2 linked regions of the Macaca fascicularis genome follow. The protein of the gene in region 1 interacts with the protein of each later gene in a pairwise test. Links are inferred from orthologs where the notes say so. Each region holds a gene or a part of one and is shown on either strand. Other genes may lie near its edges.

Region 1 (6,614 bases):
TAAAAAAATTGGATAACATAAATCAGGGTACAGTCTCAAGATCTGCAAGTTAGTTTCACAAGACCTCCAAGTGATTCTAATGTATGTCTTAAGTTTAAGAATCACTGACGTATACCATTAAGATGGAAGAAAATTTGAGGTAGCTAAGAAACTACAGTAAACTTAAATTAGGTAAATGAAATATCCCATATTCCATTTGGCCCTCCCTAATTTAAGGCTCACACTGAGTTTTCATCTACATATGTTTAGGACTGAAGTGGCAGGAACATGCCTGGTTTGTGAAGACAACAGAGCTTGCCTTCCTCATCCATTACTATTGTTAAGGTTCCTGTTGCCAGATGTTCCTCCTCTCCAGTAGGGTCAACTATAAGCAAAGTGCTATAAAAAGAAAAAAGTATAAGTTATCAATCCATGGAACAAATTTTACTTTAAAAATACTAAACATACTGTCAGCCTCCCAAGTAGCTGGAATTACAGGTACACACCATCACACCTAGCTAATTTTTGTATTTTTAGTAGAGACAGGGTTTCACCGACTTGGCCAGGCTGGTCTCGAACTCCTGACCTCAGGTGATACCCTGCCTCAGCCTCCCAAAGTGCTGGCATTACAGGCATGACCCACCATGCCTCGCCCTGCTCTACTATTTCTGAATGTGCTAAAATCCTTGGAAAATACTGAAGATAGCTTCAGGTAAATCTTTAGTGAAAGAATTAGAAATTAACATTACACAGGTATAAGTAAACCAAGGAACAGGTAAAGTGAACACAATTATCATCCAAATCAGGATGCTTATGAAAGCAGACAGGTTGACTATAAATAATTGTGCAGGGACAAGTATAAACTCAAGTGTCCAGGGAAAACTAGGATGTAGAGTCAGACTCATAGCACTTCCTGAAGAGTTAGAATGCTGAACATCAATTACCCAAATCTTAAATATAGAAAATTTTAAAGTAAGTTTGATTAACTTACTCATCAAACACAGCAAAGGAAGTTGCAACTGGATGAGTTCTAATATTCAAATAACTTTTCTTCTTTAAATTAACTTCTGCTAAAGCAGTTTCTTCATTTATAGTAACTTCAGGCAACTGTACTAAGAAAAGGCAAATTTGTAAAGTAAGTCTCTAAGAAACAAATGGTTTCTAAGCTTTTTTTTTTTTTTTTTAATTCACCTTTCCCTCGATTGAACTTGCCCAGAACATTTCTTTTTAAAAAGCACCTTACAGCCACTAAGGTAAATACAGAGGATATACATTGCTCTTCACAACATCTGACATGCCTACCTAGTGCTTATTGCATAATTTTTTTAAGTTTAAGAAGTCAAAATGATTTTTTTTTAAATTTTTAGAGATCGGGTCTTGTTTTGTTGCCCAGGCTAGAACTAAATTCCTAGCAATCTTCCCACCTCAACCTCCCCAGTAGCTGGGTGGGACTATAGGCATGTGCCACTGTACCCAGTTTTGAAATGAAAATGATTACTAATAGATAACATGTCTAGCTAATTTGTATATGCCAGGTACTGTTTTACGCATTTCCACATTTTCACTGTATTCACCTAATCAATACTCTTAGAAACTAAATACTATTATCCCTATTTTATTATAGATAAGGAAACTTCAGCACAGAGTGACAGAGCCAGGAATCAAACCTAAGTCTCTGCTTTAACCACTCTGTTACAATATTGTGCTAACTTCATTTTCTACCTCCAATTCACTTAACCACTCTATTATAATATTGCTGTGCTAACTTTATTTTCCACCTCCAATTATTTGTTCCTACCAATTCATCATTCACCAATGATAGGGAATATGCACAAGTTATTGAAATCTGTAACTAATCAGTCAACCTAGACTCCTTGCTAAGAAACTTCACTATTACTATGGCCTCACAGTAAAAAGAACAGAATCCATTCTAATTCTTTTGGCAATATCACATAAAGAACTATGAGGATACTGGCAGATCTTCACCAATGACCTAGCCAGAAGTTACAAGTCTTGTCTCCCTCTCCCACCATTATTAACACTATTATGGAAAGGACTGAAGTCCTAACCTAAGTAGACGGGTACAGTCAAAGCAGCACTCTAAAGAGCATTCAGTTAGAGAATATACAACTATCAACTATATTTGGAAAGTAATGGCAGTATTACATTCATTAATTTGGAAGCATACGAAAGCAAATGTACATTAAAAGTTTCACAAAACAGAACATTCTAACCCATTAGTGGGAATATTGTCGTTTTTGTAAGGCTGCTTACCATTTTTTAAAGCCGCTAACAAAGCAAATGTGCAGGCATCCAAAATGTTTCCATCATAGTCGAGGCAAATGAGATCACAGTATAGAACCCAGGCAAGCTAAAATAGAATTAACACAAAAGGAAATTAAAGCCTTCTAATGGGTAGAACATGCTATTCACTTAGACTTAAGAACCACAGAACCCTTGGTTAAACAAGCAAGATAACCTTCAAGGCTCAAAAACCTTAAGAAAATGCTTTACCTTTTTCAAGTAGAAAACCAGAAGAAAGTGGACAGGTTTGGTGAAAGCTGGCTTTTGATTGCCAAGCTGACAAATGACAAACATGTCCATTTCCCTTAATGGAGCTACAGATGTAGAAGGAATTTCCATTCTTAGTGGGAGGTTACAGATAAGGAAGATGGTTTTGAAAGCCCTAGCTAAAATTCAAAATGCACTTTCCCATAATACATGAAATGTTTAGGTTTTACAGTGCTAACGTATCAGTTTATGGAAAGCCTCTCTAGGTTCTAATCAACCTAGTTTTACATTTTCAAATAGACTTTGGAATCTACTGTGGATTCACCAAAAACATATGTTAATATGATCAATGTTATAATCTGCTATAAGGAATAAAAAATGATTGAACTTTTCTCTAAAGGTTAAGGGGGGAAAAAATTACTTCAGTTTAAAAGGTAGCTCCCAGACAGGTGGTAAGTTAGTCAAACTTGTTTTTTATAAACAATATGGTTCACTTAGAGCATTATAGAGTAAGAAATGACTGAATCTCTAAAATCTGTAAAGCAGCCATATTTAAGGCTACTTTGATTGGTGATTTTAATTTCCTTGTTCCCTTTCCCCCACAAAAAAAATCTCTTCAGAATTAATAAGAACTTATAGCTTCTCTATTCCTCTTACCTTCCCTGGAGAAATGCACAAGTCCTCTTTCTGAATTATCTGTGAACTTGATTTAATGACAAAGAGCAAAGTAAATGAAAAGTCAAAAACTATCTGAAAATGAATTACAGTAAAATTTTATCATGGTGCTCTTACTTTTCAATGACATCTGCAATGAACTGGCTAGCCACTTGGGCCTCTTCTCCAGGAGGTCCAGACCGGAATCTCGATGAACACAGAGGTGGTAGATCCACATTAGGAACTGAAAGAAACACTCTGCAGCTATGAACTAAATTTTTTTTTTTTTTTTTTGAGATGGAGTCTTGCTCTGTCACCAGGCTGGAGTGCAGTGGCGCGATCTCCGCTCACTGCAGCCTCTACCTTCCAGGTTCAAGAGATTTCCCTGCCTCAGCCTCCCAAGCAGCTGGGATTACAGGCATGTGCCACCACGCCCAGCTAATTTTTTTGTATTTTGGTAGACGGGGTTTTATCATATTGGTTAAGATGGTCTCGATTTCCTGACCTCATGATCCACCTGCCTCAGCCTCCCAAAGTGCTGGGATTACAGGCGTGAGCCACCATGCCCGGCCTAAACTTTTTAATTTATGGATTATCAAAGTGTTAAAGGTATCAATCCACAGTAAAGGCAGCTGTGGCCATGGACAGGCTTTTCTGAATAGAGTACATTGTAACATAGTTACATTCTGCTTGGTCTCTGTAAGACTCCCAGGCATGAAATTTGTATTTTTCTGACTTTTTTCCCCCCATATGCATTTTTTAAAAATCTATTTTAGACTTCAATTCTCCTAAATCCTTTACAAGTTTTCCTGGTATCTTTCAAAATACCTCAATCTGTAACTGAAGATAGACCCTCTGCTAACATCCAACTGTTTTTCTCATTTAAGAAAATGTTGGTTCCTACCGTAAAGAACAGATGGTTCCAAGACAAGAAAAAAAATAGCAGTTGTATAAAGCAAAGAATCTTTATGGAAACAAAAAATGTGCAATGACAGTTCTTTGACTAAAAAAAATTCCATTCTATTTTTTTCTTTTGAAACAGGATTTCACTCTGTCACTCAGGCTTGAATGCAGTGATACAATCATATTTCATTGTAGCCTTGACCTCCCAGGCTCAAGCAATCCCCCTGCTTCAGCCTCCCAAGTAGTTGGGACACAGGTGTGCACCAGCACACCCAGCTAACTTGATTTTTTTGTAGAGACGGGGGGTCTCCTTTGTTCCCCAGGCTGGTCTCGAACTCCTGGGCTGAAGCAATCCTGCAGTCTTGGCCTCCCAAAATCCTGGTATTACAGGTGTGAGTCACCACACCCAGCCAAAGTTCTATTTTCTTGGTTAGTAACATATGAATATATAAACAAAAATTGAGCAAGCAAGTTTGATAAAGATTAAATTTATGAAATTCTATATCCTGCTATTATGCTATCTTTTACTAATACGGAAAACTTTTGAGGAATTTGTTTTATTGTTAAATATTTCTGAATATTAGGAATAATTTTCTTTACATCAACTCAACTAGGACTTCACTAAAATTATTATTAAATGTGTTAGAAGTATTAGTATTAAAATTACAAAACCATTTAACTTACCAACATATCCTTTATCAGGGGCATCTGTTGGTGGTGCTGCAAATTCCTATAGTAGCAAAGAAATGTTTCCTATTGAAACAAGCTACTGAAAAATTATGAAGACAACTTAGCAATCAGTTATGGAAGGCTCTATCAAATATCAGCTTAGGGAATTGTGCCAGGGCCTCTAAGGACATTGGTGCTGATCCTCACAGTAGCTCTACAAGATAAGAAGGCACTATAGTACAGTGGACTACACTATAGTGCTGCTCATCAAGATTACCTGGAGATCTTTTGAAAAACAGTAATTGAGTTTGTGCCCCCACCTAGTAGCCAAGAATCTTAATTTATTCCCCACATGGTAGAGCCAGATTTAGGAATTGCTGCTTTAGTGGTAAACAGCAAAAGCTCAGCTGGGCACGGTGGCTCACACCTGTAATCCCAGCACTTTGGGAGGCAGAGGCGGGCGGATCACCTGAGGTCAGGAGTTTGAGACCAGCCTGGCCAAGACGGCAAAACCCCGTCTCTACTAAAAACACAAAAATTAGCCAGGCGTGGTGGCAGGCGCCTGTAATCCCAGCTACTTGGGAGGCTGAGGCAGGAGAATCACTTGGAACCCGGGAAGCAGAAGTTGCAGTGAGCCGAGAGCCTGCCACTGCACTCCAACCTGAGCAACAGAGCCAGACTCCGTCTCAAAAAAAAAAAAAAAAAAAAAAAAAGAGCAAACGCTCTGCAATTAGCAAGCCTGTTCAAATGTCAGAGCCACGTTTACTGGCTAACTTTAGGCAAGTTATTTAACCTCTAACCTTAAACTCCTCATCTGTCAAATGGGAAGAAAATAGTGTCTACTCCTAGGGTCTGTTAATAAGGGCCAAATGAGATAAACCTGTTAAATCCCAGGCATAAAACCCGATAAGGAGCAAGTTCTCAAATCGTCTTGTTATATATCACTCCAGGTTTACCAAAGAAGAATCTCAACTAAGTGTTAAATAACACAGGGTGTATTGTAGTGAAAGAAGCACAGGCTTTGGAGTCAGATTTATGTCTCAAGTTTTACTTATGAGTCTTATGTACCTGGAGAGGTTACTGAACCTCATCTATAAAACAGGAGGTGGAGAAAAATAACAAATGATTGTTGTAGGGATTAAAGTGGATTATTCTGTAAAGTGCCTAAAAAGGTGTCTGGAACATAGCAGGTACTCAGTAAATGGTAGCCATTATTCCCTCAAATTTTTCTTTTCAACAATTTCAATTTTCCACACATTTACACAGATTACATGTCATCACTGGCTAAAAGGATGTCACCAAAAATCTGTTAATTTCTCAAATGATATAACCAAATGTTTTAAAAATTAAGGGTGGCTAAGATTTTTAAAGTTGTTTCATTTTGGTACATTTGACAAATGTTCAGTCATTAAACTTGGGTCATATTATTTAACACTCATAGTGAAAGCTCTTGGGAAATTAAATATTAAAAACTGACACCCAACTGTCAAATCAAGAGTGGAATTATAGGTGTATATTACAATCTAATAAAGAAAGCTAACTTTGTAACTCAAATCTCAATAGGACATATTTAGAGTTACCGCTTTAACTCCACAGATCACTGTAGTATTTCCCAACTTCACTAAAGCAGAACCATCTGCGGTACTAATTGAACCTGAAAAGATAAGCAAAGTGAAAAGTGCATGAAAGGAAAACAGCTACAAAATTATCTACATAATCATTAAAATTAAGTGTTTTAGCTTGCTGTGTATGATTATCTTGCTACCCCTCTCAGTTGCTTATGAATATTTCGTTAGAATAATTGATTTTTACATAACTATTTTAAATTAGTGTTTAAATAATTATTCACCTGTCCTTGAATTTGTGTTAATCATTTTTCATTCAGTTACAGGGCTTTT
Region 2 (7,457 bases), on another chromosome or scaffold:
TAAATTTTTATTTATTTATTTATTTAGAGGCAGGGTCTCACTCCCATCACCCAAGCTGGAGTGCAATGGCATGATCTTGGCTCACTGTAGCGTCAACTTCTTGAACCCAGGTCATCCTCCTTCCTCAGCCTCCCAAGCAACTGGAAGTACACACCACCACACTCAGCTAGTTTTTTGTATTTTTAGTAGAAACAGGGTTTCATCACGTTGCTGAGGCTGGTCTCAAACTCCTGGGCTCAAGTGATCCTCCCGCCTTGGCCTCCCAAAGTGCTAGGGTTACAAGAGTGAGCCACTGTGTGTGTTTTTTTAAGAGGCACGGTCTCTGTTACCCAGGCTAGAGTGCAGTGGTATGATCATAGCTCACTGTAATCTCCAATTCCCAGGCTCAAGCAATCCTCCTGCCTCAGCCTCCCGTGAGCCTCCCATGAGCCGCTCCCTGAGACTACAGGCACATGCCACCATGCCAGGCTAATTTTTTAATTTTTTGTAGAGGTGGGGTCTTGCTATGTTGCCCAGGCTGGTCTCGAACTTCTGGGCTCAAATGATTCTTTCGCCTCGGCCTTCCAAATTACTGGGATTACAGGCTTGAGCCAATGAGCAGGGTCCAGGAGCTTTAAGATACAGATGGAGCCGGGCGCAGTGGCTCATGCCTGTAATCCAAGCACTTTGGGAGCCCAAGGCGGGCAGATCACGAGGTCAGGAGATCGAGACCATCCTGGCTAACACGGTGAAACCCCGTCTCTACGAAAAATACAAAAAAAATTAGCCAGGCGTGGTGGCAAGCGCCTGTAGTCCTAGCTACTAGGGAGGCTGAGGCAGGAGAATGGCATGAATCAGGAGGCGGAGCTTGCAGTGAGCCGAGATTGCGCCACCGCACTCCAGCCTGCGCGACAGAGCGAGACTCTGAGACTCCGTCTCAAAAAGAAAAAAAAAAAAATACAGATTGAGAGTCCGGGCACAGTGGCTCATGTATGTAATCCCAGCATTTTGGGAGACTGAGGCGGGCAGATCACAAGATCAGGAGATAGAGACCATCCTGGCCAACATGGTGAAACCGCGTCTGTACTAAAAAGACAAAAATTAGCCAGGCATGGTGGAGCGGGCCTGTAGTCCCAGCTACTTAGGAGGCTGAGGCAGGAGAATCGCTTGAACCCCGGTGGCGGAAATTGCAGTGAGCTGAGATTGTGCCACTGCACTCCAGCCTGTGCGACAGAGTGAGAGTCCATCTCAAAACAAACAAACAAAAAAACACAAGATACGGATAGAGACTACCATATACCTGCCCATATACATGCCTTTAAGACTCTGAATGTTGCCGGGCGCGGTGGCTCAAGCCTGTAATCCCAGCACTTTGGGAGGCTGAGACGAGCGGATCACGAAGTCAGGAGATCTGAGACCATCCTGGCTAACACGGTGAAACTCCGTCTCTATTAAAAAATACAAAAAAAAAAAATAGCAGGGCGAGGTGGCGGACGCCTGTAGTCCCAGCTACTCAGGAGGCTGAGGCAGGAGAATGGCGTGAACCCGGGAGGCTGAGCTTGCAGTGAGCCGAGATCAGACCACTGCACTCCAGCCTGGGCGACAGAGCGAGACTCCATCTCAAAAAAAAAAAAAAGACTGTGAATGTCAGTGGCTGGGCGCAGTCGCTCATGCCTGTAATCGTAGTACTTTGGGAGGCCAAGGTGGGCAGATCACCTGAGGTCAGGGGTTCAAGACCAGCCTGGCCAACCACCATGGTGAAACCCCATCTCTACTAAAAATACAAAAATTAGCCAGGCATGGTGACACATGCCTGCAATCCCAGCTACTTGGGAGGCTGAGGCAGGAAAGTCGCTTGAACCTAGGAGGCGGAGGTTGCAGAGAGCCAAGATTGCAGCACTGAACTCCATTCTGGGTGACAGAGTGAGACTCTGTCTCAAAAAAAAAAAAAAGACTGAATGTCATTTTAACAGCTACCAGGCACTTTCCATACTCATAGCTAATTTTCTCACAGGTGCACTGTTTTCCAGAGACAGAACCATTAGGCGACAGGTCCAAAACCTGCAGCTTGTGTGCGCAGCACTGTGCCCTACACTCCCCTCTGGCAGGCCTGGGAGACAGAAAGGGAAATCCCTGCTGGTCACTGAGGGATGGAGCAAAGCCCACCAGCCTGAGATGACCCAGAAAAGCAAATGCATCTGGCCAGAAAGTCCTGCCTAAAGCACACGTTTGATCCCGGACAGGCTTCCCACCTCACCCTGCAACCCCTACTGAAGATAAACAAATCCAGGACCCCCAACTCCACGCCTAATGCACAGCTGACAACTGTCTTGCAATGGACATTGCTGTGCCCAACCCTGGGCGAAGGCTCTACACCTTCAAGCCCTTGGCCTACCAAGATCCAGCTACTCTAGAGGACTGCTGGTATCCTCCAAAGGGAAGCTTGGGGCAGGGATAAATTGAAGCCAGAATCTTAGGGGGCCCTGAGAGGACTCACCCAAGGCCCAGGCATGGCAGCCAGAGGGCCCCCCAACCCTGCCCAGGATCAGGCCCAGAATGTCCTCTCCAGCAGGCACAGCAGCTCAACTGCACCACAGCAGGCTGCCCAGCCCAGCCCTGCAGCAGCCTGCAACCCCAGGACAAGGGTTCAAGTTCCAGCTCTACCACTTGCTGTAGTGGTCCCTTCTCCAGTCTCTGTGTCCTCTTTACACAGAATCAAAAGACACTTCCGACTCATAGAAAGATTATGACAATTCAATGAGAAAATTCTAGCAAAGTGAGCCCCCAGAACCTAAAAACAGCTCAACAATTTTTTTTTTTTTACTTATTATTACTGGGTCCTCCAGGTGGGCCTCGTGCAAGGGCCAGCCGGGCATCCCTGCCAGCTGCCAAACCCATCATCTGGCCCAAGTCTAGGTATTGACTGGGAACTTCAGAGTAGCCTTAAGGTGGGGACCCCTGGGGCAGCGGGTTGGGCAGGAGTTGTCTACACGTGTGCAGCAACCTTCCCTCCAGGCCGGATTCCGAGGCGCTAGTGACCACCAGCCTGTGCCACACCGGCGGGCTCCTCCTCCCTCAATCCCCGCCCAGACTGCCTCGGGCGGCAGAGCACGTGGCTCCAGCCCTGGGGAGCCATTTCGCTCCTGGAGCAGCGCGGCAGGAAAGGGGCCGCAGGTCCCAAACTTGCGCACTCCGTAGAACGCCCACCTCCCCCATACCCCGCCCGGGGGGTCGTTCAAAATGCAGATGTCCGGGCGCCAGCGATCAGAGTTCCAGGCATGTGCATTTTAAGAAGTGTGCGGGGTGGTTTAGCTGTGTGTGGTCCTTGAATCCATCACCCTTTGGGTTTCGAGCAACCTAGGACCAAAGCTTGCAAAGTGGCTTCTGGGGAGGCCTGCGGATCTCGGGCCACCCACCCCGCCTGGGGACCCGACGCTTTCGATTTACGGCAGGGGGAGGGGCGTTGGATGGGAAAGTTTGCAGAGGAAACCCACGTGCGGCGGGAAGCTGCCCTGCGAGGCTAGAGGCAGCCTCAGGTGTCCCCTCCCCAAAAGGCCTGCCCACCTGGCCTGCCTTGCCCACCGTGCCCATGGGTCCGAGCTTTGTGCAGGGAAAGCGTGGCCCAGGAGCGCCTACAAATCCCACAATGCTGCACCAGCAGGATGCGGAGAACTACAGCTCCCGCGAGGCCGCGCGCAGAGGTCCGCCTACTCCAAGAGGGCTGCAGAGTCACGTCCAGGCCTCGCTAGTAAACAGCGCCCGGGAGCGGGCGGGCGAGCGAGCGGCAGCCAACGTGCCCCGGGCCGCGGCGCCCCTACCGGCCGCGCGGGCCCCTCGGGGCCCGCCCACCCCCCACACCCACACGCGAGCACGCCCCCAACCCCGCTGCAGCCCCACTCTGCAAACACGCACAGTGCCCGGCTCCCCGCCCCCACCCCGCGCCGGGAGCCGCGGCATGGCTGCATTGTAGCCGCCCTAGCTACACCCCCACGCGCGCCCCGGCCCCCGAGACCCCCTTGGATGGGGACGACCTAAGATCGCGAGGAAGGAAGGAGAGGAAGGAAGCCGCCGCGGGAGGGGGAAAGAGGAAGCGCGGGGGGGAAGGCCACCAGCACCAAGCATGGCCGGGACTGCTGCAGAACCACGTGGGTCTGTTTGCAATTTACAAACGTTGCGACTCGCCCGCCTGCAGCGGACAAAAGTGGCCGGGGCCGCTTGGGGCCCCCATGCTCCAAGGGAGGAGGGTCCCGGGGCGGCGCGAACCCGGCGCGTGGGGCTGCAGCCGTCCCGGCAGCTAAGAAAGGCTAGCGGGGTCGGCGGCGCGGGCCATGCGTGCGCACACGCGCGCCCGCCCGGGCGGGCTAGCCGGGGGCTGCAATGGTAGGAAGGGGGTGGGGGAAGGAGGAGTACACACCTACAGAGCCCTCCTATCACTTCTTTCTCTGTTTTCCTGAAATGTTGCAAAGAGGGCACCTTCTGAGTGGGCACCATGAAATACTCCATAGCGATCGGCCCCCCTCCTCTGCACGAGCCAGGTCCCGCGATCAGCCGGAGAATGCAAGATGGAAATCCGAATCAAAGGGCAGCGCCGGACGGAGGTGCAGAATCGGCCGGTCCCAGATGCTGGCGGCGGCGGCGGCGGCGGCGGCGGCTGCGAGGGGAGGGAGGCGGGCGGGAGGGGCGGGAGGGAGGTCTCTCCGGCCTGCCTCCCCGGGCGTGTGTATGTGTGTGTGTGTGTGTGTTTGCAGCTGATCAGATGTCTGTTTCAAGGCGGGAAACAGCTGGTGAAAACTCAGCACTCCCCCGGCCTCCTTCCGCGGAGTAAGGAATTGCATGTAAACAAAGGACTATTTGCAGCGCCCCCCAGGCGGCGCGAGGCCGGGGCGAGAGGGGCGCGGGCCCCCGGGGACCGGCTGCAGCCGGGGTCTGCAGGCCTCTCGCTGGGCACAGGGGGCCGGGGGCCGCGGGCGGGCTTGGGGGGCGCGGCGTGAATGGAGCGAGCTGCGGCCGAGCTACATGCGCCACTATGGGTGATGAGGTCCATCAGCTGACAGGTTGGCAAGCGTTGAAAAAAAAAAAAAAAAGGCCAGCCACCGCGCGGGGAGGCCAGCCTGTGCAGCCCGGGGTCCAGCGGCGACTGCCCAGTGCAGGGTCCGCGCGCTCGGCCGGCCCGCGGGGAGGAGGGGGCGCGGCTGGGTCGGGCGTGCTGCGGCAGCAAGGAAGGCGGCCTGGGGTTCGCGCTTGGGGCTTCTGCTTTTTCACCATTGCAACTGCACCGAGCGGAGCCTCTCCGGTGTGCTCCCTTCGAGCCAAGCCCAGGGCCCCCTGGAAACTTGCGTCACAGCCACCGCTTCCCACATGTAACTTGGGGCTGACTTCCGAGGCCGGCCAGCCTCCTCTCTCCCTCCCTGCTGAGCTGCGCGCCGCTGGACGCACGGCAAGGACTCCGGATCCTGGGAATCCTGGACCTGGCGAGGGGACGGCAAAGGGCGCCTCGGATGCTGGGGCCGCCCTAGGAAACCCGGGCCCCCGGCGGAGAGGGGAAGGTGGAGGCGGGCCCGAACGGCAGCGGCCCCCGGGCCCAGGCTGCCGGCGCTGCCGGGAGGTCTGCTGGTTGCTGCCGGGTGTCCTGCTATTCCCCCCAGACCCCCACTGTTCCCTCCGCGGGCTGAAGGCTGCAGCTTCTCATTCATAACAAAGCCCGAGTGGGACTTGCACCTCCGCCAGGGTGCGCTCCCTACGAGGGGGTGACGACTTAGGGCAGGGACGGGGACCCTGGCGGCGAGCTTCCGTCCTCCGCTCGCACGCCCCACCTTCCGGCCCCAGGCCCTCCCTTGGCTCCTGGAGGGTTGGCTTCTGGCTCAGGAAGCCCACGCCTGCCTTGGAATGTCCTGGATCCTGCCCACAGCCTTCCAGGTTCCGCCTAAATCGCGCCTCCTAATTTGACTTATTCCTACTAGTAACAATAGTTACTGTTATTATTGGGAAATATTGTTATTAGATGTTGCCAGCACCCGGTGGATGCAGAACAGTTTTGCATACATGCTCTCCAATCCTTGAAGCAACCTGTTAGGCAGTTTCTCTAAGGAGAGATCCCAGACCACTTCACAAAAAAAGTCTCTGGAAGGCTTACTATATTTTTATTTAAAACAAACAAACAAACAAACTTTCGGCCGGGTGCGGTGGCTCACCCCTGTAATCTCAGCACTTTGGGAGGCTGAGGCAGGTGGATCACCTGAGGTCGGGAGTTCAAGACCAGCCTGACCAACACGGAGAAACCCTGTCTCTACTAAAAATACAAAATTAGCCGGGGGCGTGGTGGCGCATGCCTGTAATCCCAGCTACTTGGGAGGCTGAAGCAGGAGAATCGCTTGAACCAGGAGGTGGAGGCTGCAGTGAGCCAAGATCGTGCCATTGCACACCAGCCTGGGCAACAAGAGCGAAACTCCATCTCAAAAAAAAAAAACAACAACAACAAAAAACTTTTTACTGTTTTTCATGAATAGAGATGGGAGTCTCACTATGTTGCCCAGCCTGGTCTTGAACTCCTGGGACTCAAGGAATCCTACCTCTACCTCCCAAATTGCTGGGATTACAAGCATGAACCATGGATGGCCCTGGCAGGAAGCCTATTTTTAACTGCCCCTAGTGAGCAAGCTATTTTTTTTTTTTTTTCAGATGGAGTCTTCCTCTGTTACCCAGGCTGGAGTGCAGTGGCACGATCTGAGCTCACTGCAACCTCCACCTCCTGGGTTCAAACGATTCTTCTGCCTCAGCCTCCCGAGTAGCTGTGGCTACAGGCACACACCACCAAGCCCGGCTAATTTTTGTATTTTTAGTACAGACGGGATTTTGCCATGTTAGCCAGGCTGGTCTTGAACTCCTGACCTCAGGCGATCTGCCTGCCCCAGTCCCCAAAGTGCTGGGATTGCAGGCATGAGCCACCTCACCCAGCAGTGAGCAAGCTATTCTGATGCATTACTGTCTCTTTATCCTCTCATTTTGAAGATGGAAAGACAGAGGCTCACAGTTGCAGATAAGGATGGACTCAGGAGTGCTGACTGCAGAAAGCCCTCGTTCTTTATATCACACTCATCCTCCCACCTGTCACACCTCACCTCTGATCAGGGCCTTATTTTGTACTTGCTTTTGTTCTTTTGCAGAGCAAAGCATTCTGTCATACTTGGTTATATGTGGCCTTCACATTGTTCTCTGGATGTCTCCCTGGTTCAATTTTTTTTTTTTTTTTTTTTTTTTTTTGAGACGGAGTCTCGCACTGTCGCCCAGGTTGGAGTGCAGTGGCGCGATCTCGGCTCACTGGAACCTCCGCCTCCCAGGTTCAAGTGATTCTCCTGTTCTCCTGCCTCAGCCTCCCAAGTAGCTGAGATTACAGACGCCCACCACCACACCTGGCTAAATTTTTTGTATTTTTAGTAGAGACAGGGTTTCGCTATGTTGGCCAGGCTGGTCTTGAACTC

The links.
Region 2: the proteins of EXOSC8 (region 1) and TFAP4 interact in binary tests that used the Homo sapiens proteins (3 or more experiments, as listed by UniProt). The two-hybrid records come from large-scale screens. The link is inferred for Macaca fascicularis from reciprocal best matches to the Homo sapiens genes EXOSC8 and TFAP4.

The regions. Positions count from the first base shown.
Region 1 is NC_088391.1:16,549,732-16,556,345, reverse strand, and holds part of EXOSC8 (exosome complex component RRP43), read right to left. Parts: intron 6,371-6,614; coding exon 6,297-6,370; intron 4,778-6,296; coding exon 4,732-4,777; intron 3,389-4,731; coding exon 3,283-3,388; intron 3,194-3,282; coding exon 3,148-3,193; intron 2,351-3,147; coding exon 2,254-2,350; intron 1,092-2,253; coding exon 971-1,091; intron 379-970; coding exon 272-378; intron 1-271. UniProt on the Homo sapiens protein: Non-catalytic component of the RNA exosome complex which has 3'->5' exoribonuclease activity and participates in a multitude of cellular RNA processing and degradation events.
Region 2 is NC_088394.1:5,059,537-5,066,993, forward strand, and holds the start of TFAP4 (transcription factor AP-4), read right to left. Parts: upstream 4,742-7,457; 5' UTR 4,483-4,741; coding exon 4,394-4,482; intron 1-4,393.